3 linked regions of the Anolis sagrei genome follow. The protein of the gene in region 3 purifies or fractionates together with the protein of the main gene of each other region. This does not show direct contact. Links are inferred from orthologs where the notes say so. Each region holds a gene or a part of one and is shown on either strand. Other genes may lie near its edges.

Region 1 (8,558 bases), on a different chromosome or scaffold from region 3:
GGCAAAACCAAATGAGCTCTTTACAGTTCAGGATCATTTACAGTAACTATCTGTAAAAAAAAAAATTCCGATTTGTAACAGTTTTCTAAATAGAATTTTTAAATGTACCAAACCTGGTAATTTTATTCCATACTTGAAGCACAGTTTAAATCACTGTTACTTTGTTCTGAAGTAACAAAGTGATTTTCAATCTATAAAAGATGCTAATATTGGATTATTTTCCAATTATATATGGAAATTTGTATTACCTGCAATTATTTGGGGGGGGGGGGCGGGGGGAGAGAAAGCTTTCATCCGATAAGTGTTGGAAGTATTACATCTCCACATATCCCTCCTTGTGCCTCTTCATGTTCCCTATGTGCTCATATCCCTCCCCCGCCTTTAAAAAGTATTTTAATGCCTAAATGTATGCTTTATTCACAGTCTTCTGGTTCTTTTAATGCTGACCATTGACTAAAATAAAAATGTTCTGTTCTGTTCATCTCCACATACAAACCACATACATGGGTTGAATATGTCAATATTTGTCTTAACATTTCACACAAAAGATTCAATTAACAATATCTAACAATGAAATATTTTTAAATCACCATACTTACTGAGTTTGTGGAGTTCCTGTTGCAAATTCTGACATTCTTGTGTCTCATTTACAAGTCTCTCCTGACTCTGAGCCAGTCGTTTTTCCACTTCAAAATACTGTTGTTCTGCAAATACCCAAATAACATTACTTCAAAACGTGTTTCTTCAGGATATTATACAAATAAGTCTCCACAAAAGCATTCTGGAGTATACGCTCGACTCATGAAAAGCACCTGTACTCCAAGTGAGAACAGATGAGATTATTTGATCCAAGAGGTCTGCAAAATGTCACAGAAACTAGGAAGACATCACAATTTCCGAGAACCACAGCACAGAACCACAGCACAGAAGATTTCAGAAGGTGTTCACTTTAGACTGTATTTCCTTTCATTTTCTCTGACCAGAAGCACCAAACAAATTCTATTCCTCATTCTACAGACTTTACTCATGGTATCCCAGAGTAGAATGCCATATGCTGCATGCGTTTCTTGGAAACTACAATACATTTATGGAACTCCCTTGTCCCACATGGTTGTCTGACTTATCATATTTACTCAAGTCTAATGTGCACCTTTTTGGCTAAATGACCTTGCAAAAATTAGGGTGCACATTAGATTTGATAACGCTCAAAATTGGCTACCTCCCTCCCTTGATTTGTTGGGTTCTGTGGTACCTCAGAGATGCCCATTCACCCTCCTCTTCCTTACCTGCTCCTGCTGGGAACTGGCAGCAGCAGCAACGCACAATTCCATCTCTCCTTCTTTCCCCCCTCACTGTCCCTCAACTGGCACCAGCCCTTTGCCTTTCCTAATGGCAGAGAAGGGGCATCTACACATGGAAGTCAGCCTAGAGGCTGCTGGTTAATAAAGCCTTTCCTCCATCTTCCTCCATTCCTTTCTACTACCCGCCCCCCTCCACTCAACGATTGAGGAGGGAGAAAACTGGCTGGTTGAGGAGGGAAAGAGGGAAAAAACTACACTACCCTGCTTTCCTATTTCCCCCCTCAAAAAAGCCCGCTCAGCTCCTCTCCCTTCAGCTGAATGTTGGCTGGTTTGAAGTGGAAAGGAGGAGAGGGAGAAGCAGGGAGAAGGCAGCTGCTCAGATTCAGTGGGCCCTGAAAGAAGAGGAGGTGGAGGAGGAAGGGCTGCCGCCACCACCGCCTTCCCACAGTCAAGGAAGTGTTTGGCAGCATGTTTTCCCCAAACTCCTTAGAAAAAATGCATTTTTCACTTCATCATCAATTAAAATTTTATTACAATCCAAAGATCAATTTAGTTTAGTGGCTAAAAGTGCACAAATGTAAACAGATTAATAAACTGCTAAAACTACACACAGGATGGCATGCAATACAAGATACATATGAACATGGGTAAGAATGCTGCAAATAGATACAGGGAAAGTTTCAGCCTGAAACTAATACAGAAAGTTATCCTATCCTTTTCACTTGATAGAATACCTTTCTAGGAATCTTTAGATCCATAGGGTTATGCTAGCTGACCCAGAGATTCTAAGTCTCTGGGTCCTCCAGCACAACTTTACATTCAACTTCCAATAGAGAAGCTCCTAGAGACCATATTAATCCAATTCATGAATTCTTCCCATCTTTTCCTTCCTTCCTTCCTTCCTTCCTCCCCCCCCCCCCCCAAATTATCAGGGTGGTCCGCGAGAAGGCCTTATTGGTAGATTATTTAAACTGTTATGTTTATTCATATCATGATCTGATCACCATGCTCAATGTTATCCCATATGCAAAGGGGGTATTGGGATAACGATACAAAAGGGTTGCTAGGGTAGATCCTTACCCACCCCCCAACCCCGAATCAAACTCAGCACCCCCCGAATCAAAATCCTGGCTACGGGCCTGATCCAGGGAATTCGGTATCCAAACCCCAGCCTACACAAAGGGCCACGAAATTATAGCTGCGTTCTCGCGGTCCTCCTTTGACTCCAGGGCTTGAAACCAATGGCCCTTTCTTTCATAGAATCATAGAATCAAAGAGTTGGAAGAGACCTCATGGGCCATCCAGTCCAACCCCATTCTGCCAAGAAGCAGGAATATTGCATTCAAATCACCCCTGACAGATGCCCATCCAGCCTCTGTTTAAAAGCTTCCAAAGAAGGAGCCTCCACCACACTCCGGGGCAGAGAGTTCCACTGCTGAACGGCTCTCACAGTCAGGAAGTTCTTCCTAATGTTCAGATGGAATCTCCTCTCTTGTAGTTTGGAGCCATTGTTCCGCGTCCTAGTCTCCAGGGAAGCAGAAAACAAGCTTGCTCCCTCCTCCCTGTGGCTTCCTCTCACATATTTATACATGGCTATCATATCTCCTCTCAGCCTTCTCTTCTTCAGGCTAAACAAGGTCTCTCTTACGAGGCCTCACTCACCGCTGTCCACCTTGTAGCGCTCGTGCCGGGTGCGAAGCGCGTCGATCTCGCTCTGCTGGTCGGCCAGGAAGCGCTCCAGCTTCCCCTGCACGACCTTGGGCAGCTTGGCCAGCTCGGCCCGCTCCAGGACCTGCTGCAACACCACCGCCATCTTGGCCTGCGATCTGCTCCAGAGAAGGCCAGGGCGCGGAGGCACCGGCGCGCATGCGCACGGATGGACTGGCGCGTGCGCAGAACGCTGCCGCCGCTCCTCAAACCTAAGAGGTAGGAGAGCGGCAAGCTGCTTTTTCCCTTTTCTACGTTTTTCACGTGGAATGCTTTGGTTTCATTCGCAATTTTAGGCGGCTTTCCTTTCCCGCGAGGCGGAAATCCCACAAGAGAACTAAAAAAAAAAAGAGGAGCAATTTAGTGGAATCGCTCTACTTCCGCCACACTCACAATGGCAGCCGCGCGCGGGCTGACTTGAGCGGCTGATTTAGAAACTGCGCGTGTGGTGTCGTCATCACAGTGCGCCCCGTTTTGGGCGACCAGGAGATGACGGAGGTTAGGCCACCTCAGTGTGTACGGCAAGAGGGAGCCAGCTGGTGCCTTGGTGATGGGGAAGCTGCCTTGACAGGGTGGAATACATGCAATAAGGAAACCCCTCTTTGGTGAGAAGGAGAAGGCCGCTTTGGTTGCATTCATAGGCGGGAAGGAAGGGAAGGGGGAGCCTTCGCAGGCAAAATCTCAGAATGGAAAACAGATTGTGAATTGATCGAACTGGGATAGTGGAACTGCACAGAAGGAGATCTTTTCCTGTGTGGTGTTGACTCTCCTCAGCTGTCACTTTGGCATTTTACATAAAAAACTCTTATCAGCCCCTTCTACACTGCCATATAATCCTGATTGTCAAATCAGACAATCCACATCTCCTTTGAACTGTATTATATAAATCCGCATAATTATTCATTTATTTATTATTTAAACTTATATGCCGCCACTCCCCTGGGGCTCGGAGCGGCTTACAAGGATAGCTAAAATCTAACAAAGTTTAAAAGCAATTTAAAGCAATTTAAAAACAACAGTATCAAACATTAAAAGCCTGTCAGAACAGGTATGTCTTACATGCCCTGCGGAAAGCTGGTAAGTCTCGCAGGGCACGAACTTCAGGTGGCAGAGCATTCCAGACTGATGGCGCCACTGCTGTGAAGGCTCTGCGTCTGGTTGCCGTTAGACGCAAGGTCTTGACACTGGGGACTTCCAATAGATCTTGGTCCTCAGAGCGGAGGGATCTCTGGGGTTGGTAGGGGGTGAGACGATCCCTCAGATACATTGGCCCCAGACCATGCAAGGCCTTAAAGGTGAGTACCATCACTTTGAAAGTGATCCAGTGCTCAATTGGTAACCAATGCAGCTGTAGTAAGATTGGTGTTATGTGGCATCTCATCGGAATTCCCGCAAGAAGCCGAGCAGCTGCATTTTGTACCAACTTGAGCTTCCGAATCACCGACAGAGGGAGGCCAATGTAGAGGGCGTTACAGTAGTCCAGCCTTGAGATGACCGTGGCCTGGATCACCGTAGCTAGGTCGTCCCTGGACAGGTAGGGGGCCAGCCGTCTAGCCTGCCGCAGGTGAAAGAAGGCGGTTTTGCTCACGGCGGAGACCTGGGCCTCCATTGTCAGCAGAAGGTCCATTGACTGCTCATTGGAGGGAAGAATAGTAGAGGCCAAGATGAAGTACTTTGGCCACATCATGAGAAGAAAGGAAAGCTTAGAGAAGACAATGATGCTGGGGAAAATGGAAGGAAAAAGGAAGAGGGCAAGATGGATGGATGGCATCCTTGAAGTGACTGGATTGACCTTTTATTTATTTATTTATTTATTTGCTTTATTTCTATACCGCATTTTTCAGCCCGATAAGGCGACTCAATGCGGTTTACACAATGAAATTATCACAATAACATCAATACTATCACAACAATATCCTAAACAATTAAAACACATCATATACAGCAACAAAATCAAACAATCATTAACAATTCATAACGCCTCAATATGAAATCAGAATCCGTTCTCGTAATCCTTGTGCCATTCCTGAGATCAAATTTTACCGTCCTCCTATATTCAGTTGCACTGTTTAGCCAAACGCTTGTTCATAGAGCCAGGTCTTAACCTTCTTCCGAAACGCCAGCAGCGAAGGGGCCTGTCTGATGTCTACAGATAGGGCATTCCATAGCCGAGGGGCCACCACCGAGAAGGCCCTGTCCCTCGTCCCCGCCAAGCGCGCCTGTGACGCAGGCGGGACCGAGAGCAGGGCCTCCCCGGACGATCTTAATGTCCTAGTCGGTTCATAGGTGGAGATGCATTCGGAGAGGTAAGTAGGGCCAGAACCGTTTAGGGCTTTATAGGCTAACGCCAGCACCTTGAATTGTGCCCAGTAGCAAATTGGCAGCCAGTGGAGCTGGCTCAACAGAGGAGTGGTATGCTCCCTGAGTGCCGCTCCCGTTAGCAACCTGGCTGCCGAGCGCTGGACCATCTGAAGCTTCCGGGCAGTCTTCAAGGGCAACCCCATGTAGAGCGCGTTGCAGTAATCTATGCGGGATGTAACCAGAGCGTGGACTACTGTGGCCAAGTCAGACTTCCCAAGGTACGGGCGCAGCTGGCGCACAAGTTTTAATTGTGAATAATTTAATAATGTAATTTAATAATTTAATTTAATAATTTAATAATCCTTGAAGGAGCTGGGGGTGGTGACGGCCGAGAGGCAGCTCTGGCGTGGGCTGGTCCATGAGGTCACAAAGAGTCGGAAACGACTGAACGAATGAGCAACAACATATAAATCCACATTGCCTTATAATCCAGATCAAAGCGCATACTCTGGATATTATATGTCAGTGAAGAAGGAGAATCCCTTTCATATAAATACTGCAGAGACAATTATAGGTTTTGGAGATTTTTTGGAATTTTTCAGGATTCTGGAATCCTGAAATACTCCCAAATCTAAAATTGTCCACCCAAGTTGCTTGAGACAGTGTCACTTTGTTTTCCAGTAGGCCACTGTATGTAAAGCGTTTCATGACCAATATTATTTAAAATCTTGTGTATAAAACAACTTTCAGGCTATGTCTGCAAGATTTATAAGAAAGCCTAATAAAATTCCATGCTGGGTGCCATCTCTCAGATATCTCATTATGCAAATATTCCCAAATCTGAAGTCCAAAACATCTCTGGTTCCAAGCATTTTTAATAAGGAAGACAGTTCCGTCATCATCATGGTTATACAGGGTGAGTCAGCATAACTTCCTTTTTTAAAAAGCGTGCCATTCAGTTGGTTGAAGACGTAACAGAGCGTTAGTGGTCTCGTTCAAGAGGTGGGAGTATAAAGTTTTGTCCTGACACAGTTCAGTCGCCATCATGCGTTGGAACAGTGAGGAGCGTGCTTTTGCTGTTGAGGCCTACTTTTCGAGCGGATTTGGAGTGGCTGGCCCGCTCTCCAGATTTGGCCCCTTGTGATTTTTTTTCTATGGGGTTTTTTGAAATCCTGTGTTTATGTGAGCCGTCCAAGATTTAAAGACCAACATTCAGGAAGAACTGGCCAATATAACACCTGCTATGCTGGCAAGAGTCATGACAAATGCCAGAAATTGATTTACTCAGTGTATGGAGAATGGGGAACGTCACCTACCTAATTTAATCTTCAAAACTACGTAAAACAAAATTTTAGGTATGCGCCTACATTATAAAAAAATCTGATTCATACAATGGGTTTTATTAAGTTTTTTAAAAAGGAGGTTATACTGCCTCACCCTGTATTATACTTTAATTTAATCTTCAAAACTACGTAAAACAAAATTTTAGGTATGCGCCTACATTATAAAAAAAATCTGATTCATACAATGAGTTTTATTAAGTTTTTTAAAAAGGAGGTTATCCTGCCTCACCCTGTATTATACTGTGTATTTCTACCCTGCAGCTCACAAAAAACAATACTATCAAAAAAACCCCACAAAAGTCAGGTTTAAAATAAAGTTAAATTGCTTACAATCCTTAAAACAATTAAAATACAATTAAAAAATAAGTAAACACCTGTTAGAAACAATTCAGCCTAAAACTACTCAAAGCCCCCTAAACCATTATTAGGATACTTTCTCTTTTAATTCCAAGCACTTTTCATTTTCTCTCTCCTTGTTTTTAATGGTTTTTGCTGGGCTCTTAGATACTAACAATCATGGGAAGAAGCTGCTTTGTTGAAGAAGCTGTGGGGCAGTATCTCTTGGATCTCATCACCACTTCAAAACCTTTTGCCATTGGTCTCTTAGTGGGGCAGGTGAGTGTCATGTGATGTTTGGTATACTAAAACATCCCTCTTGGTTTTGAGTGTTTCTTTCCTAAGTAGAAATTATCATGCAACTTTTATTACATCTTGAAGTTTCTAGCTTTTAGTATTTCGTGTCAAGAGCACTGCATAAAATAGTTTGTCTCAAACGGATAAAATAAAGTGATCACAAGCTGTTAGATAGTTTTAGACCAAAAACGGGTAACAATGCTGTCCGTAGCTTTAAACAGTTCTTCCTCTGTGCACGAGGCAGGGCATTGAGGGCAAGCATAGAGATGCTAAGTTGCTTGTTCTGCTCCACAGTTGCACAAGATGGAGGATTCTTGTAGGAGTGCCATTTTTCCAGGTTGTTTTTGATCTGCCCACTCCACTTCTGAGTCTGTTCAGGGACTTCCAAGTTTGCCCCTGGAAGAAGACCCTCATGGGGGGCCATCCAGTTGGAATTGCTTGATTTTGCTGCCCACAGGGATATTATTTGCTTTTACTGGAGGAACATTTAGAGGAGTGGTGGTTCTCATGAAACTTTTCCTTGATTTAAGTCTACTGGGAGGAGGCTGGTAGCCATATAGTGGGTGGCTTTCACAGTGTTGAACCTTATTTCTCTTTTAACTGGCAGCAACTTCCCATTGCACATAGGAGGGGGGGGGGGATGCCAGCTAACTTATAGAGTCTATTAACAGGTGTAGGTTTAAGACTTTATGATTGTTCTACATTTCTCATTTATTCACCTGCCTCATATGAGCAGATTTATGCCAATTGGGGCAGGCATACTCAGCATTTGAGTAAAATAGTGCCAGGGCTAATGATCTTATTAATTTTGGGTCTGTGTCCCATGCACAATTAGTAAGTTTCCGCAGAATGTTACTGTGTGTAGCTATTTTGTACTTGTTTGCACAGTATTTCCTAAATGTTAGCGTTCGATCTAAGATGATGCTTAGATATTTAGGGTGGAAACAGTGTTCAAGCTCTTGGCCTTCCCAGATAACCTTCAATTTCCTGTTGGCTTCACAATTATTTTTTATTTTATTTATTTATTAATCAATTTTATATACCACCACTCCACAAAGGCTCGGATCGGTTTACAATATACACATGTGATTATGTAGATGGAAAGCACACACTTGTGTCTTGGCAGGTTAGGCTTCAAGTGGTTATCTTTGTAGTAGCTGGAGAGATCCTTCAAGGCATTTGTAAGTTGTTTTTCGATTGTTTCAAAGTCTTTTTGCTTGTGTTATTAGCCAAGGTTATCAGCATATAGAAAGCTCTTTGTGAGTGGTGGCTG
Region 2 (8,143 bases), about 28 Mb from region 3:
ATCCTAGAGCACTTCTAGACTGCATACAAGGTCAATGTATGTCTATTTAGAATCAGATTTTAAATCTAGACCCAGATTAGCACAACTACTTCTGTCTTAACATTAGATTTCATATTGGTATTTCCTATTAATTCTAGTTCTTCCTTCAGAAATCCAAGGTTGCAGTTGCCTCCCTGAGATTACATGGTGAAAAAAGTACAGAAGGGGTAAAGATGCTTATTAGTTTAATACCTCAACACAAACCTATATACAGAACTATCAGTGGGTTATGTAGATGCTGAAAGGTATTTGGGAGAAGACTGAAACCAGGGAAACTATAATATTAATGACTAAAAAACTGGATAAAATGTCCTGCAACAACAGATTTTAAGTGCTCCTACCCTATGGAAAAAATAAACAACGATCAGCAATCTTTTCATCCTGGGCAGAGGTGATTAATAGGGTGGTGCACGGCTCTGCCCTAGGCCCAGTGCTGTTCAACATCTTTATTAATGACTTGAATGAAGATTTTGAAGGCATGCTTATATAGTTTGCAGATGACATCAAACTGGGAGAGACATCAGAATTCAAAATTACCTTAACATTAGTAGACCACAAGTTGAACATGAGCCAACGATGTAATGCAGCAGCTTAAAAATTCAATGGGAGTTTGGGCTGCATCAAAAGAAGTCTAGATCAAGGGAAGTCATGGTGCACCTCTAGTCCGCTGTGGTTAGACCACAACTGGACTACTGTGTCCAATTCTGGACACCACAATTCAAGAGAAGATATTGACAAGCTGGACGGGATCCAGAGGAGGGCAACTAAAATGATCAAAGGTCTGGAGACCATGAATCCCTATGAGGAGCACCTTAAAGAGCTGGGTATGTTTAGCTTGCAGAAGAGAAGGTTGAGAGGAGACGTTATTACCATGTATAAATATTTGAAAGGATGTCATAAGGAAGAGGAAACAGGCTTGTTTTCTGCTGTGCTGGAAACCAGGACTTGGAGCAATGGGTTGAAATTACAGGAAAGGAGATTCCACCTTAACATTAGGAAGAACTTCCTGACAGTAAGAGCTGTTCAGCAGTGGAACTCTCTGCCTCTGGTGGAGGCTCCCTCTTTAGGGACTTTTAAACAGAATCTGGAGGTGAAGGGTCTAAAAAGGAAGTCATTGCTTGTACAAGCAGAAAGGTACTGTTAACAAGAGGTTCCATATCTACAAAAGTCCACCTCCAGTTCTGTCAAAATTGTGGAAGTCACATAACCATAAAAATGAACAATTTTATTTCCCAAATGTAATACAATCTGAAGACAACAGGTTTATGGATTTTTTTTTTACCGATAACTTTTAGGGTATCAATCAAGTAAGATTAATTTGTTTCACAAGACCTTCAGTGGTCAACATCATGTAAATTCGATCATTTTAAAAATTACCATCATGGTCACAAAGTAGTTCCTACAATAGGAACTTAACTGTAATACGTACAATTTGGCAACTATGATGTCCTGTGCTGTTTCACATATCACTCTCAGCCTGGATATCAAAGAATGGGAGTTCTTAATATCACTTCCAAGACAGCTATCAGATCATTTAGTGCAGGGATCCTCAAACTAAGGCCCGAGGGTCGAATACGGCCCTCGAAGTTCATATACCCGGCCCTCGCTCAGGGTCAGCCTAAGTCTGAAACAACTTGAAAGCACACAACAACAACAACAACAACTATCCTATCTCATCAGCCAAAAGCAAGTCCACACTTCCCATTGAAATACTAATAAGTTTATATTTGTTAAAATTGTCTTCATTTTAATTATTGCATTGTTTTAAGTGTTTTTGCACTACAAATAAGATATGTGCAGTGTGCATAGGAATTAATGCTTTTTTCAAATTATAATCCGGCCCTGCAGCAGTTAGAGGGACTGTGACCTAGCCCTCTGTTTAAAAAGTTTGAGGACCCCTGATTTAGAGGCACTATTAGACAGTGAAGTGGAACTATATCAACAATCTTCCCAACATGTTTCTATTATCAAACACTGGAAACTAGCTGAATGGCTAACATGGTACCTGGTCACTGTTAACTATAATGCACACTAACCTGAAACCTGCAAGTTCCAACAACCACATAATGATTGCCACCATATGCTATCAGAGAATCTGCAGTTCCGCTCTCAAATGGGCTGAATTCCACCACATGCACATAATCTTCACATTCCACAGTATAGGATGCACTTCGGGAAGCTTCCTGTTTCATCTTCAGCGGAGGTATTCTGAGTAACCAGATGGAAGACTCCTCAGCTGGACAAGGAGCTAAATAGTAAACATACACATAGTTAGATAACGAGGCATGTAGCCGGGGAGGAGGGGGGGCTTGAGGGGCTTCAGCCCCCCCCCCCCGAAATTCTCATGGTGGTCCGCGAAAAGGCCTTTCTGGTGCATTATTTAAACTGTTATGTTTATTCATATCATGATCTGATCACCATGCTCAATATATCCTCCTGAGGTTTGTTTGTTTCTGGCATGCCAACCCCAATGTTTCGCAATCAAGACATGCAGAAAGGAGGGCAGAATCAAAAGTTTATTGCTTCAGTTGCCAAGGAAGTATGCCATGGGAATTACCAGATTTGACATATGCTTCAGTTAGGAGGGGATTCAGAGTGGTACGCAAGAAGGCCTTACTGGTGCATTATTTAAACTGTTATGTGTATTCATATCATGATCTGATCACCATGCTCAATATATCCCATATGCATGGGGGTATTGGGATAATGATACAAAAGGTTTGCTAGGCTAGACCCTCTTTCACTCAGACTCAGCCCCCCACCAAAACTCAGCCCCCCCCCGAAACCCCCCCCCCGAAAAAAATTTAACCCCCCCCCCCCAAAAAAAACCCGAAATCCTGGCTACGGGCCTGTAGATAACTCTCATTGTTCCAAATAATAATAGTAATAATAACAAAGCCCCACAAAACGTTTTTGGTGTCTTGCTTTTTAGGGATGTCTCTGGGTTTATTTGGGGGGCCAGTTCAGAAAATTGCATTGGATAGAACCCATTAGCACTACTTTCTTAGATATAGATATCAATGAACGTTCCCTTACTTAGAGCGGCCTGGGGTGTTGAGCGGCCGGTGGATTCCCACGCAAACAATCCCTTCGCTCGCTCACCTCATTCGTTCTGTTACTCTCCCGCGAAGAATTCGTGAGGCAGCTGCGCTTCCGGGTGAGAGTCTCTTCCGGGTCGCCGCGGGTCCCGCTTTCCGATTGGTTGAGACGCGCAGCGTTCGAATTCAAACCTCCGCCGCTGACAGCTGCTTCTTTGGCTCTGTGGAAGGAGCCTCCTTGGAGGGAGCGCCTCGAGGAAGGCCGCAGTGCCCAGGTGAGGGGCGTGGGGCTCCAGTGGGACTCGACTCCACCTGAACTGCCCTGGCTCAAGGCTATGGGACCCAGGGAGTTGTAGTTTTACAAGGTCTACAAGGCCTTTCTCCATCTCTGGCAAAGAGTGTTGTCCCTCACCAAACTACACCTCCAAAGATTCCATAGCATTTAATTATCGCAGTTAAGGTGATCTCAAACTGCATTAATTCTACAGTGAAGACTAGGCCTGGGCAAACTTGGTCCCTCCAGGTGTTTTGGACTTCAACTCTCACAATTCCTAACAGCCTATCGGCTGTTAGGAATTGTGAGAGTTGAAGTCCAAAACACCTGGAGGGACCAAGTTTGCCCAGTCCTGATATAAATATTGCGAAAAGGGACAACAGAAGTGTAGTGGTTTGAGCACTAGACTGTGACAGTGGAGACTTGGGTTCAAATCCTTACTTGGCCAAGGAAACCCTCTGAATGGCTTTGTCCGAATCTCATCCTCTCTGTCTTAGAGCAAAACAAAGGCAAACCCCACTCTAAAGAAATCTTGCCAAGAAAATCCTATGATAGGTTTGCTTTATTTATTTATTTACGACATTTAAATGCCACCCTTCTCGCCCCGAAGGAGACTCAGAGTGGCTTGCAAGATATATATGCATACAATATATTAAATTATTAGCATAGTATAATATCAGTTGTACTGGTCCATTGGAGGGAAAGATAGTAGAGGCAAAAATGAAGTACTGCATCATGAGAAGAATGGAAAACTTAGAGAAGACAGTGATGCTGGGGGAAATGAAAGGAAAAAGGAAGAGAGGCCGACCAAGGGCAAGATGGATGGATGGCATCCTTGAAGGGACTGGATTGACTTTGAAGGAGCTGGGGGTGCTGACGGCCGACAGGGAACTCTGGCGTGGGCTGGTCCATGAGGTCACGAAGAGTCAGAAACGACTGAAGGAATGAACAACAACAATATCAGTATTATATATTACTATATTGTACTACACCATTACATTGTAATATTATTAGTAATTTTAAAGTAATATAAAATATATAATTATAATATTATATTATTAGTAGTAGTATTATATTGTATTACATTATAATATTATAAATATTATATGTATATACAATATATTATATTATTAGTATAGCACAGGAGACAAGATGGAACTGTCTTCAATTGTAACCCTCTCTCTCTTCACTCTGCCCAGAGCAACTCCCAATTTTAGAGCCAGCATAAGTTAGAAATGAGTTATCGATTTATTTATCATGTCAGAAGCAAGTTGAGGGTACAGTTAGAATGCATTTAAAAAACACAAAGTTTAAAAGAACTTGGCATTATGCTAAATGTCCTTTGACCTGAAGTTGGCCACTTGGAGTGCCTCAGGTGTCACTGTGGGAAGGCCCTCTGTTTTGCATGTGGCAGGGCTCAGGTTACATTGTAGTAGGTGGTCTGTGGTTTGCTCTTCTCCACACTTGCATGTCGTGGACTCCACTTTGTGGTCCCCATTTCTTAAGGTTAGCTCTGCATCTCATGGTGCCAGAGGGCAGTCTATTCAGCGCTTTCCACTCTTCTGTGTGCCCAGGAGGGAGTTTATCATCCAGTCTCAGCCACTGATTTAAGTGCTGGATTTTAGCCTGCCACTTTTGGACTCTCATTTGCTGAGGTGTTCCCGTGAGTATCTCTGTAGATCTTAGGAAGATGTTTCTTGATTTAAGGTGTTGGCATGCTTATTGATATCCGAACAGAGGATGGGCCGAATATGTCACTGCCTTGGTCCTTTCATTGCTAACTGCTACTTCCCAGCAGATGTCAGATGGTGCAATACCAGCTAAACAGTGTAATTTCTTCAGTGGTGTGGGGCGGCATGTCTTATTAAGAGTCACATCCACTGTTTTAATGTGGTGAGATGTATTCCACACTGGGCATGCATAGTCAGCAGCAGAGTAGTAACTCACAAGGGCAGATTTCTTCACTGTGTCTGGTTGTGATTCCCAGGTTGTGCCAATCAGTTTTTGTACAATATTATTTCTAGCACACACTTTTTGCTTGATATTCAAACAGTTCTTCTTATAGGTTAGAGCATGGTCCAGAGTGACTTCCGTGTATTTTGGTGTGCTGTAATACTCCAGGGATTCATCTTAAGAAATGACTTGAAGGCACATAACAAATTTCTTCCAAGGAGCCTAGGCCCAGCTGTAGATGTGAGTCCTGTTCACTAAGTCAATGTAGATAAACCTTCCCCGGGTTGTTCTCTTTTAGATGTGTTTAATTGCAACTTGTATCCCATTATAGACTAGAATATCTGGACAGGTTCCAGGGCATGGCCGATGATAAAGATGCTTTATCATATCTGACAAGGAGCCCCCAGTGACGCAGTGGGTTAAACCCCTGTGCCGGCAGGACTGAAGACTGACAAGTCACAGGTTCGAATCCGGGGAGAGGCGGATGAGCTCCTTCTATCGACTCCAGCACCCCATGCAAGGACATGAGAGAAGCCTCCCACAAGGATGATAAAAACATCAAATCATCCGGGCGTCCCCTGGGCAGCGTCCTTGCAGATGGACAATTCTCTCACACCAGAAACGACTTGCAGTTTCTCAAGTCGCTCCTGACATGACAAAAAAAATCGTATCTGATGCCCTTTTTTGAAACCACCTTTCTAAAATCTAAAATTCTAAAATAAATTGTGTTCTTATGTTGAAAGTGCCATTCCTGTTTAATTGTGCAGTACTTTGAAAGTAGTTATAGTCCAGAAACTACATTGTTGTAGCTGTCACAAACTATGTTGAATTGGTTGAAATTATGAGATATTCATTGAAAAATATGGCAAAATGTGCTGCAGTGTGGGGCTGCATTTGGCTGATGAAAGAGTCAAGTTAATTAAGATTGTTGTTGTTTGTCTTCAAGTCGTTTCAGACCTAGGGCAACCCTAAATGTAAAGTTTAGACTGGGGGCCAGGTAAATAACCTTGGAGCACCGCATTTGGCCCATGGGCCTTAGTTTGGGGGCCCTTGCGCTAGTCCATCTTTTCCATTTGAATGTTCACAGGTCCTCTCTCTCAGTTATGTTCATTTTATATCTTGTTTTATTTGTTTTAGGATCATGTCATTTGTCCAGCAAAGAATCTTGGATATGATTCGGTGTTTTCGAAAGGAATGGCGCTTATATTCAGATTCTGAAAGGACAACTGTATGTGGTATAGACTCCATGCTGGTGGCTTTGCAGCTATCAGTTGCAGAAATCAATAAAAAGGTTAGTGTACTAAGAGACAGTAACTGGCTTGACCTTGAGCTCTGATGTGGGCTGCTCCATGAGATCATGAAGAGTCTGAAGCGAGTGAACGAATAAACAACAAAACAACAACACATATTCATTGTTGCATTTGTAAACTGCCCAAATTAAGTTAATATGTCTGAATTATTTATTTGTTCAGAACATTTATACCCGTCCTTCTCAATCTCTGAAGATGGACTCAGGACAGCTTCCAACAGGCAACTATTTGATGTCGACACAATATAATAAAATAACATAAAATACAATTAGCATACATTAAAAACATTAAAACAGTTGCTGGTTCAAATCGACATCCAAATCAGTCCACTGCAGTCCATTTAAAGCTTATCTTCACCAGTAAATCAGTCTATTCTGCAAATGCTTGATCCCACAGCCAGGATTTGAGTTTCTTCCGGAAGGTCAGGAGGGATGGGGCAGATCTAATCTCATCAGGAAGGGAGTACCACAGCCGAGGGCCCTGCCTCATACCCACGCAACTGCAATGGCGTTAGGACCGAGAGTAAGGCCTCTCTGGATGATCTTAAGGTCCTTGGTGGTTCATGGAGGGAGATACGTTTGGACAGGTAAACTGGGCAGGAACCATTTGGGGCTTTATAGGTTAAGACCAGCACTTTGAATTGTGCCCGGAAACTAAAAGGCAGCCAGCGGAGCTTGCGTAACAGGGGAATTGTACATTCCCTGTTCCCCTCTCCCGTGAGCAACCTGGCTGCTGAGCGTTGGACTAGCTGAAGCTTCCGAGCAGTCTTCAGAGGCAACCCCACATAGAGTACATTGCAGTAATGTATTCGGGATGTAACCAGAGCATGGACCACCATGGCCAAGTCAGATTTCACAAGATATGGGTGCAGCTGGCACACAAGTTTTAACTGTGTGAAAGCTCCCCTGGCCACCGCCGAGACCTGGAGTTCTCTGCTGGCATCATAAACTGGACACAGGCAGAACTGGACAATTTGGACAGAAAAACTAGAAAACTCATGACCATTCATAATTCATTACATCCTCACAGTGATGTCAACGGGCTCTATCTGCCTAGAAAGTCTGGGGGCAGAGGACTTTTACAAGTAAAACAAGCAGTCGAAGAAGAAAAACACTCCCTGGCAGAATATGTAAAGGAAAGCCAAGAACCTGCTTTAATTGAAGTCAATCAGAAACTTCTCAAAGCACAGCAAACCAAGAACCAGTACAAGAAAACTGCACTCCAAACCAGAGCTGACAGCTGGCACAACAAAGCTTTGCATGGGCAGTTCCTTGAGAAGATTGAAGGAAAAGTTGACAAGGAGAAGACCTGGTTATGGCTCTCATGAATGGAACCCTGAATAAGGAGACAGAAGGCCTGATTCTTGCAGCCCAGAAGCAAGCCATCAGAACCAATGCAATTAAGGCCAGGATTGAAAAATCAGCGGATGACCCAAAATGCAGACTATGCAAGGAAGCTGATGAAACCATGGATCATATCCTCAGCTGTTGCAAGAAAATTGCACAGACGGACTACAAACAAATACGCAA
Region 3 (8,436 bases):
AAAAAAAAAATTAAAAACCAAACAAACATAATTTATGAGAATTCGGGAAGAAATGCAAACATTGAGACCATTCTAATAGGCCTCAAAAAAGGATACTCGAAACTTTTTTTTGCGAACTCTGCTTCCGAACTGGCTGAGTTATTTCTTCAGACATTTCTGGAAAGGGAAAAGAATCAATGAAACTAATTTGTATTGCAATGTATCCTTCTCTGTTTCTATTGAATGAGCAATCAAGCAGGAAGAGTTCGGAGAAACGCAATTCTTAGCTTTGTCTCTTTTTCATTAAGAGAAGAATTGCTTGTAGCTATGAATAATATAGTAATAATAAAACACTTCTAGACTGTCCTCTTTTTCCAAGAGGACTCAGGGCGGTTTACACACACAAAAAGGCAAACTTTCAAACAAGTACAAATACATCAAGGCAATATGACATGATACAAAATAACAATAGTGAACTAATTGTCTGAAGAATGCAATTAATGAAGAAAATTAAACATCAAAAATGAAAAACATGATACAAATAAACACATAAAACAAAGTACATTAAAACATAATTAACATTAAAACATCTGACGTAGTAAAACAATTAAAATAGATGAACAATGGCTGTTTTAGTTGTTCTTTAAAGTGTACCATGATGGCCATGGGGCACAAGTAAGTCAGCCAGCATTCCAATGGCATTATTGTGGGTCCCCAGGTGTTTTGGCCAACAACTCCCAGAAATCCCAGCTAGTTTACCAGCTGTTAGGATTCTGGGAGTTGAAGGCCAAAATATCTGGGGACCCACAGGTTGAAAAACACTGGTCTAGAGTATCCCAGTCCTCCTTATTATGAAAACATAAGGAATACAAACCAGAATAAAATAAAATAAGAATAGTACAATGAAACAGATTGCAAAAATAAAGTCTGATTGAAAGTTCAGAATCCTACATTACAAGTTCTAGAAAGCCTGCAAAAGCAGAATTAGTTTGCTTAGTACCAGTATGCTTGTACAGCACCAGTAACATGACAATTAACATGGGTACCCAGGCAGGCCTGCTCTAGAGAGAAAATCTAGCAGTGAAGTGCCGCTATTGAAAAGATACTCCTTCTCATTGTGTTCAGATGGCAAGGCACCCAGAGAAAGATTTGAGGATGAAGGCCTTCATAGATTTCTGGACTGATGCAAGATGGGGGGAAAAAACCAAATCAGGCCGGAAGCCAAAGTAAGTTTATCAGACTTGTTGCACTTGCATATGCAAGCACATACACACACTCCACTTTTTGAAAACCATTGATCTCTAAGAGAGCCAAACTTGGAAAATTTTCAATTTTTAAAGTCTAGTCCCTATTGACCATTCTATCTGAAGGAACCTGGCTATTGGGGTCCAAAAGAATAACACTTTCAAGTTGTGGGAAGAAAAGGGGAATAAATTAATGAGAATAATGTGAGAAACAGCTGTCAGCCACACTAATATTCCAAGGAACGGTGAGAATGAATGAATAGATACTGTAAAAGCACACCTGTCAGTCACATAACATTCCAAGGAACAGGGTGAGTGAATGAATGAGAACAGTGTAAAGAATACTTGTTAGTCACAGTAATATTCCTGTGGAATGGTATGAATGAATGAATGGCTATAGTATAAAGAACATACCAGTTATTCCAATATTCCAAAGAATAGTGTGAATGAATGAGAACAATGTAAAGAACATCTGTCAGTCACAGTAATATTCCAAGGAACAGTGTGAATGAATGAGAACAGTGTAAAGAACATGTCAGTCACAGTAATATTCCAAGGAACAGTGTGAATGAATGAGAACAGTGTGAAGAACATCTGCCAGTCACAGTAATATTCCAAAGTACCTACTAAGGTTAATTCTCTATGAAGGAATGAGAGGAACACCTCAGGCAACTGATTTTTCCTGCAGTCGCCCAACCACAGATTCAATCATCCATGGTTTGAAAACATTTTTTTGAAATCCAAAAACCAAACCTTCAATTTGCCAATACATACAAAGGCCACAATTTTACTATGCCGTTGTGTATGATGGGATGTGAGCACCCATGGATTTTGGTTTTTTTAATGCTTATTTTTTTATTATGTGTGTTTTTGGCATCTAATTGTTGCCTATATATATAAGCTACCTTGAGTCCCTTACGGGGTTGAGAAGGCCTGGGTGAAAATACAGTAAATAAATAATAAAATATACATACTTAGCTGGGAGTAAGCCCCATTTAACAGCCCACTGTTTCAAGAAAGGGGGAGCACAGTGTCTAGATCTAGGGAAGTAATGCTACCCCTCTATTCCACCTTGGTTAGACCACACCTGGAACAGTGTGTCCAATTCTGGGCACCACAATTGAAGAGAGATGTTGAGAAGCTGGAATGTGTCCCAAGGAGGATGACTAAAATGATTGAGGGTCTGGAGAACAAGCCCTATGAGGAGCACCTTAAGGAGCTGGGCATGTTTAGCCTAAAGAAGAGAAGGCTGAGAGGAGATATGATAGCCATGTATAAATATGTGAGAGGAAGTCACAGGGAGGGGGGAGCAAGCTTGTTTTCTGCTTCCCTGGAGACTAGGATGGGGAACAATGGCTTCAAACTACAAGAAAGGAGATTCCATCTAAACATGAGGAAGAACTTCCTGACTGTGAGAGCCGTTCAGCAGTGGAACTCTCTGCCCCGGAGTGTGGTGGAGGCTCCTTCTTTGGAAGTTTTTAAACAGAGGCTGGATGGCCATCTATCAGGAATGCCCATGAGGTCTCTTCCAACTCTCTTTGATTCTATTATTCTAAATTCAAATACATGTTTACTGGACTGGGGGAGGTTAATCGTTTTTAGCTACAGTGAAATAATTGAGAATTCCTAACATAGCTAATGTTACCTATCTTTTGTGGGGCTGTCTCTTTCACCTTCCCCATAATAGAGACAATCCTACGTCCCTCACAAAACTGTATATCCCAGAGAAAAGGTGATTAAATTGCCATCCAAGCAGTGCAGTGTGAAAGCGAACGGGCACTTCCGAGAGGCTCAATGCTCGAGCATCCCTTATCTGAAATTCAAGACTTCAGAATCCCCAAGTGAGTGACTGAGACAGTGACACCTTCTGCTTTCCAATCCCCGGCTGAGGGGGAAAACCAAGGGGCCCGAGGCTGTTAAGAATTGTGGGAGTTGAAGTCCAAAACACCTGGAGAAAGGCCGAATCTTGAAGCTGAAGCGGCGGGAAAGAAAAGAGAAGAGGCCTTGGCTGCTTTGCTGAGGCGAAGGACATGCCTGAGGCCATTTCTTCCTCGGCTGCTGAACTATAGAAGGCGGGAGGGCCTCACCTCTCAACCCAATGCTCACGCCTCCCCTCCAGCCTTTGACTCGCCTATAGACCTTCCGCCATACTCACCTGCTCTCCACAGCCGAGTGCCGGCTGCCGCTTGTTGCTTGAGACTTCCCGCCCGCCGGAAGCGGAAGTGAAACTCAGGACCCGGATGAGGGCAGGAGGCTCTCTCCCGAGACAAGGGAATAGCTCCATGGAGATGTACACATGGCGCCCCCTGCAGGCGAGGAAGACCGCCTAGCCCCCACCGCTTTGGGCGTGGCGGGAAAGTTTTCCATCGCTGGAAGGAAGTTTGGGGCCCCTTCCTGACAGCTCAATCAAACCCCGCAGTATCTGCTTGGAACTGGAATATATGGCAGCGTGGACTCAGGGCCCTTCCGCACAACCATAAATCCCAGAATATCAAGGCAGAAAATTCCACAATATCTGCTTTGAACTGGGTTGTCTGAGTCCACACTGCCATGCATTTCAGTTCAAAGCAGATATTGGGGGTTATTTTGCCTTGATATTCTGTGTTAAAGGGCCCTCAGAAAACCCAGTTCAAAGCAGATATTGTGGGATTTTCAGCCTTGATATTCTGGGTTTTATGGCTGTGTGGAAGGGCCCTGATGAGAGATTGCAGGTTAAAGGTGCCAGAAAAGCCGCTATTTGACAACTGATGGGCAGATTCAGTGCCCCTTTTTTGGCATTTAATAATAATAAAACTTTATTTATACCCCGCTACCATCTCCCCAAGGGACTCGGTGCAGCTTACATGAGGTCAAGCCCACAGTACATCAGTAAACAAGGCAATAACAAAAACAATCAATACAAAACAATATAAATCACATAAACAAAAAATTTCCGAGTATTTGTATCATGAAGTCTAGGACTCGGGTCTAAATGCGAAATTCTTGTAGGGCTCAGACTTTAGACACCTACACGTGACCTAAACGGTACTACGCAGTACACAAAACCACCCTAAAGTAAAGGTGTCACTATGGGTGCAACTACTCTGCAGAATGAATGGGGTTTGATACTACTATAACTGGCATGGTTCAATGTTCTGGAATCCTGGGACTTGGGGTGATACTGGTACTCTTTGGCAGAAAGGACTAAAGACCATCCAAAACTAGAGCTGGCAGGATTTCACAGTATTCAGCCATGACAGTTCAAGTGGTGTCAAACTGCATTACTTCTACAGTGTGGATCAGGCATGGGCAAACTTTGGCCCACAATTCCGAACAGTAGGCTGTTAGGAATTGTGGGAGTTGAAGTCCAAAACACCTGGAGGGTGTAGATGCACCCCATCTGTTACCCATGTTGAAAATTTTGGAGTGTATTGGCTTTCCTTTATTGGTATTAGTGCATAAGTGCTGGTTTTAACCTATAAAACCCTACACAGCTCTGGCCCGGTTTACCTGTTCGAATGCATCTCCTCCTATAAACCATCAAGGATGCTAAGATCATCTGGAGAGGCCCTGCTCTCGATCCCACCACCTTCGCAGTCGTGGTTGGTGGGGATGAGAGACAGGGCCTTTTCTGTGGTTACCTCTGGCTATGGAACTCTCTCCCTGGCAAGATTAGGTCTGCCCCCTTCCTCTTATCAATCAGGAAGCAGCTAAAATCCTGGCTCTGGAATCAGGCATTCGCAGTTTGATAGATGATCCGGCATAGACGAAGATTCAATGAATAATTGGATTGAGTTGGATGATGTTTTTAACCTGATGATTGTCTTTTATATGCATTTTAGAACTTACTGTGTATGTTATTTATGTTATGTATTGTAAAGCATTGAATTTTTGCTATTAGCCGTGGTCTGAATCCCTCCACGGAGGTAGAGTAGAACGGGATACAAAAGTTCTAAATAAAAAATATTTTGATATATGCATCTTAATGGTGTTGCATTTGTTGGTTTTAACCATGTTGTACCTCACTTTGAGCCTTAATGTTCTTCTGGAAGGGAAGCTGTGCTTACATACATAGCTATGAAACAGAATGAACAGTTCTCTTTTTTGGTGCCATCCTGTTTTCACCAGGTTTTTCAGCCACTCATGCCCTAATGATGATAAAGCTTACAGATCCAACTACAAAAATGTTTTGAAAGCAAAGGAAAAACAATCCGTGCAAGGCCACACAGAAGAAGAGACAAAACCCATTCTTTTCCAGTGGCACAGGTAAAAGCAAACAGGTGAAGACTTCCTGGCTTGTATGTTCTTTATTAATAACTTTTGCCACATTCAGATGTTGCCTGGCCACGTGCATCCTGGTTTAATTCTTTGAGATGTTGCAAAATATGCTATCTCTTTCAGTCCTCCTTCAGAAAGAAAGGGCTTCCAAATATAGCTGGCTCAGCCATAGATGCATAGCTTTGTGAGGGCTCTTAATGGTACATAAAGGAGGATTTCATTGCAGCGTTTCTTGTTCTCTACCTGCTGAGGTCAGTCGTCTTTTCATCCATCATAAAATATGGGATCTCTGATGTTGTACACTTTTTCTATTCTTAGCTATACACTTTATCCTCTTTTTTCTTCTGAACTGAAGGAGTATCAAGGAAAGGTTCATAGATGAGTATTCGGTATCTGAGAATCAGCTACATTTCTGTGTTTACTTCTGCACCATCTGTGAACTTCCTAGATAGTGCAAGAAGAAATCCCCTGTGCTCTAAAATTAAAAGACCAGTCAAGCGATGCAAACAAAATCAAATCAATTAAGATAAGAAATAGGACATGAAATGTGTAGCCTAAATGGGAATTTCGCCATGAATGCTCTCTCTACTGCCAAGAAATCAACAAGCTGTATATTACCCTGTTGGTTCTTTACTTAGTTTTTGGTTCAGCTTGGTTTTAGGTTGCAAGACTTAAAACTTCATATTCAAGAATAGTTCAATGAGATTAATTAGATTAGTCCTTTCGAATCCCATTTCTAATAAGAAAGGAATTACTGGAGCCAGGTGTTTTTTTGTATCTAGAGGGCCCTTCCAGATTGATCTAAAGAGGTGAGAGGGTAAATAGAGCCCACAACAACAACTATATGTTGGGATTGTAGGAAAAAATCCTGAGAACTACAAAAAATGATGTAACTGCTTTTTACATTTGCTCCATTTGGAAGAGAAGCTTCAAGAAAGCTACAAAAATCAAAGTCATGAATAGATAAAAACAAAAGAGAAATATGTTCACAGAGTGTCTTTGGTTTTATCCCAATTGTATGAATGTATTAACGCAGTGAAATTAAAACAGACTATGCATGGTAAATTTAATTTATTAATCCCTAAAACAGAGTTATGGATCTGATAATGAAATACGTTTATATGATGTAAAATTAAAAAGTGATCAGTATTGGACTGGGATTTAGAAGAATTAAAACAGCAATGAAGATTGATCCAATTCCAAAAATTGCTGTTGAAATTTTACATTATTGGAACATTAGTGGTTTAGGAGCATACATCCATGATGACTTATTGGTGACAAATACCATTTTCTTGTTGACTTCTGTATCAACTGTAAACCCTATGTTCAAGTCCTAAATCCTTTTTTTGTCCAAGTATTTTAACCACCTTATGGCTAACATCAGCAAAAGATACAAAACATTCACTTATAGATAGTTGTAATGCAAGCCCTTGCATGGCAATCCAAATTTATTGAACTACTGATGCTAAGTCATACAAAATTGCACCACTTTTAATTAAGGCTTTTAGTTTACATTTGGCCACCTCAAAGCAGTTGTAACATTAGGTTGGTCAATTTAAATACTGTGGCTCCCTGTTGGATTTTACACGCAATCTTTACACCCAAACGTTAATGCATACAAAGCAACAAGGCATTGTTAAATAAATCAGCAAAAAGGTAATTACTGCAACTTAGGCCCTGGGACCAATTACACATGATTAAAATTACTTCCCACATTCACATCCACAGTACTCGTCCACCATTTAACATCTCAACCAAAACGTTACACATGTAAAACAATCACTAACAGGCAAAAGTACTAAACCTGTATATTTGGTATTGCAAATACACTTATGCATGAGCAAGCAAGGGAATTCACAGTGAGAATCTACAGCTGCAGAAGCCCAAAAATGATTTACAAAAAAATTGTTAAATCATTAAAAAATCGTTTTAAAATATACACTTCTTGTTGTAGACCCCCACTGTACACACAACTATAAACATTGTTCCCTATGTAAACAAGGAAAAGGAAACATACAATAAAAGGTTGAAAAATCTGGACATTTCCTTCCCAACAGATATTAAAGGCAATGTCTTTAGGCAGACATTATACTGAAAGGACTCATTTTAATAAGACTAGGTCACTGTCTCCACAGGTTTTTTATCCTAAAATTAAAAAACTAGATAGCTGTTGTGTTAATCAAAGCGCTTTTGTACAATACAATGATGATCCTGTATTTCTTTTAAAAAAGTTACAATAAGCTACAAATACCAATGAAGCAAAGTTATCTGGAGTAGTCTATATAGGAGCTCTTTGGACTTTCTTTTATTACGCTAAAATAGTGGTGCTTTTAGGATTTACATTATTGTACTCTCCAATAGGAAGTATGGGGTTTGTTGTAGATACAGTACAGTTTTCATACATGTACAACATTGGCGGATGAACAATGTCTCTTTATCTGTAATACTGGATGTAGGCTCTGGTTTTACCAGTTGCATACACATAGGTTATTTATAAGTAAAAATCTCTCGTGACACTGGAACGTGATTAGAATGTGCAAACTGATGTAGTAGCTGTCATCCGTTTCATAAGGGTACCACCATAGGAAAGTCCATTTAAGATGTTGGTAGGTTTAATAAAGTTGGAATGCTGGCACTGTTGTAGTCAGCAACAGTTCTTCAGACCTAGAGCAATTAGGAGAGAAACCAAGGAGATTTAGCATCTCAGGTGGAATCTCAGCAACAAAACAGCATCATTGTGTTTAAATTACAAGTATTTCATATTCCACGTGGTAGACTGCTTGAAGATTCTCATTCTCCTGAGGTTTAGCATAACTCATCTGTTATGCCATGATCTTCAAACAAAATATATTATTAAATATTCATAACAAAGATCAGGTCCAGAGACAAACTGAAATAGCAAGTGTTCGAGTACACTCATGACAAGTGCAATATGAATACAGAATCTATGGATGAC

What was found.
Region 1: the proteins of NUP107 (region 3) and TPR fractionate together in Homo sapiens (co-fractionation; 4 studies listed by BioGRID and IntAct, with this or other methods). This does not show direct contact. The link is inferred for Anolis sagrei from reciprocal best matches to the Homo sapiens genes NUP107 and TPR.
Region 2: the proteins of NUP107 (region 3) and NUP37 purify together in Homo sapiens (affinity purification with mass spectrometry; 7 studies listed by BioGRID and IntAct, with this or other methods). This does not show direct contact. The link is inferred for Anolis sagrei from reciprocal best matches to the Homo sapiens genes NUP107 and NUP37.

The regions. Positions count from the first base shown.
Region 1 is NC_090024.1:120,611,823-120,620,380, reverse strand, and holds the start of TPR (nucleoprotein TPR), read right to left. Parts: upstream 3,169-8,558; 5' UTR 3,115-3,168; coding exon 2,964-3,114; intron 705-2,963; coding exon 600-704; intron 1-599. Other genes in the region: ODR4 (protein odr-4 homolog), read left to right, coding at 7,169-7,267.
Region 2 is NC_090025.1:171,478,589-171,486,731, reverse strand, and holds the start of NUP37 (nucleoporin Nup37), read right to left. Parts: upstream 3,214-8,143; 5' UTR 3,142-3,213; exon of another isoform or gene 3,076-3,141; intron 2,288-3,075; 5' UTR 2,232-2,287; coding exon 2,076-2,231; intron 1-2,075. Other genes in the region: PARPBP (PCNA-interacting partner), read left to right, coding at 6,446-6,595. UniProt on the Homo sapiens protein: Component of the Nup107-160 subcomplex of the nuclear pore complex (NPC). The Nup107-160 subcomplex is required for the assembly of a functional NPC.
Region 3 is NC_090025.1:143,085,514-143,093,949, reverse strand, and holds the start of NUP107 (nuclear pore complex protein Nup107), read right to left. Parts: upstream 3,457-8,436; 5' UTR 3,379-3,456; intron 157-3,378; 5' UTR 155-156; coding exon 97-154; intron 1-96. UniProt on the Homo sapiens protein: Plays a role in the nuclear pore complex (NPC) assembly and/or maintenance. Required for the assembly of peripheral proteins into the NPC. May anchor NUP62 to the NPC. Involved in nephrogenesis.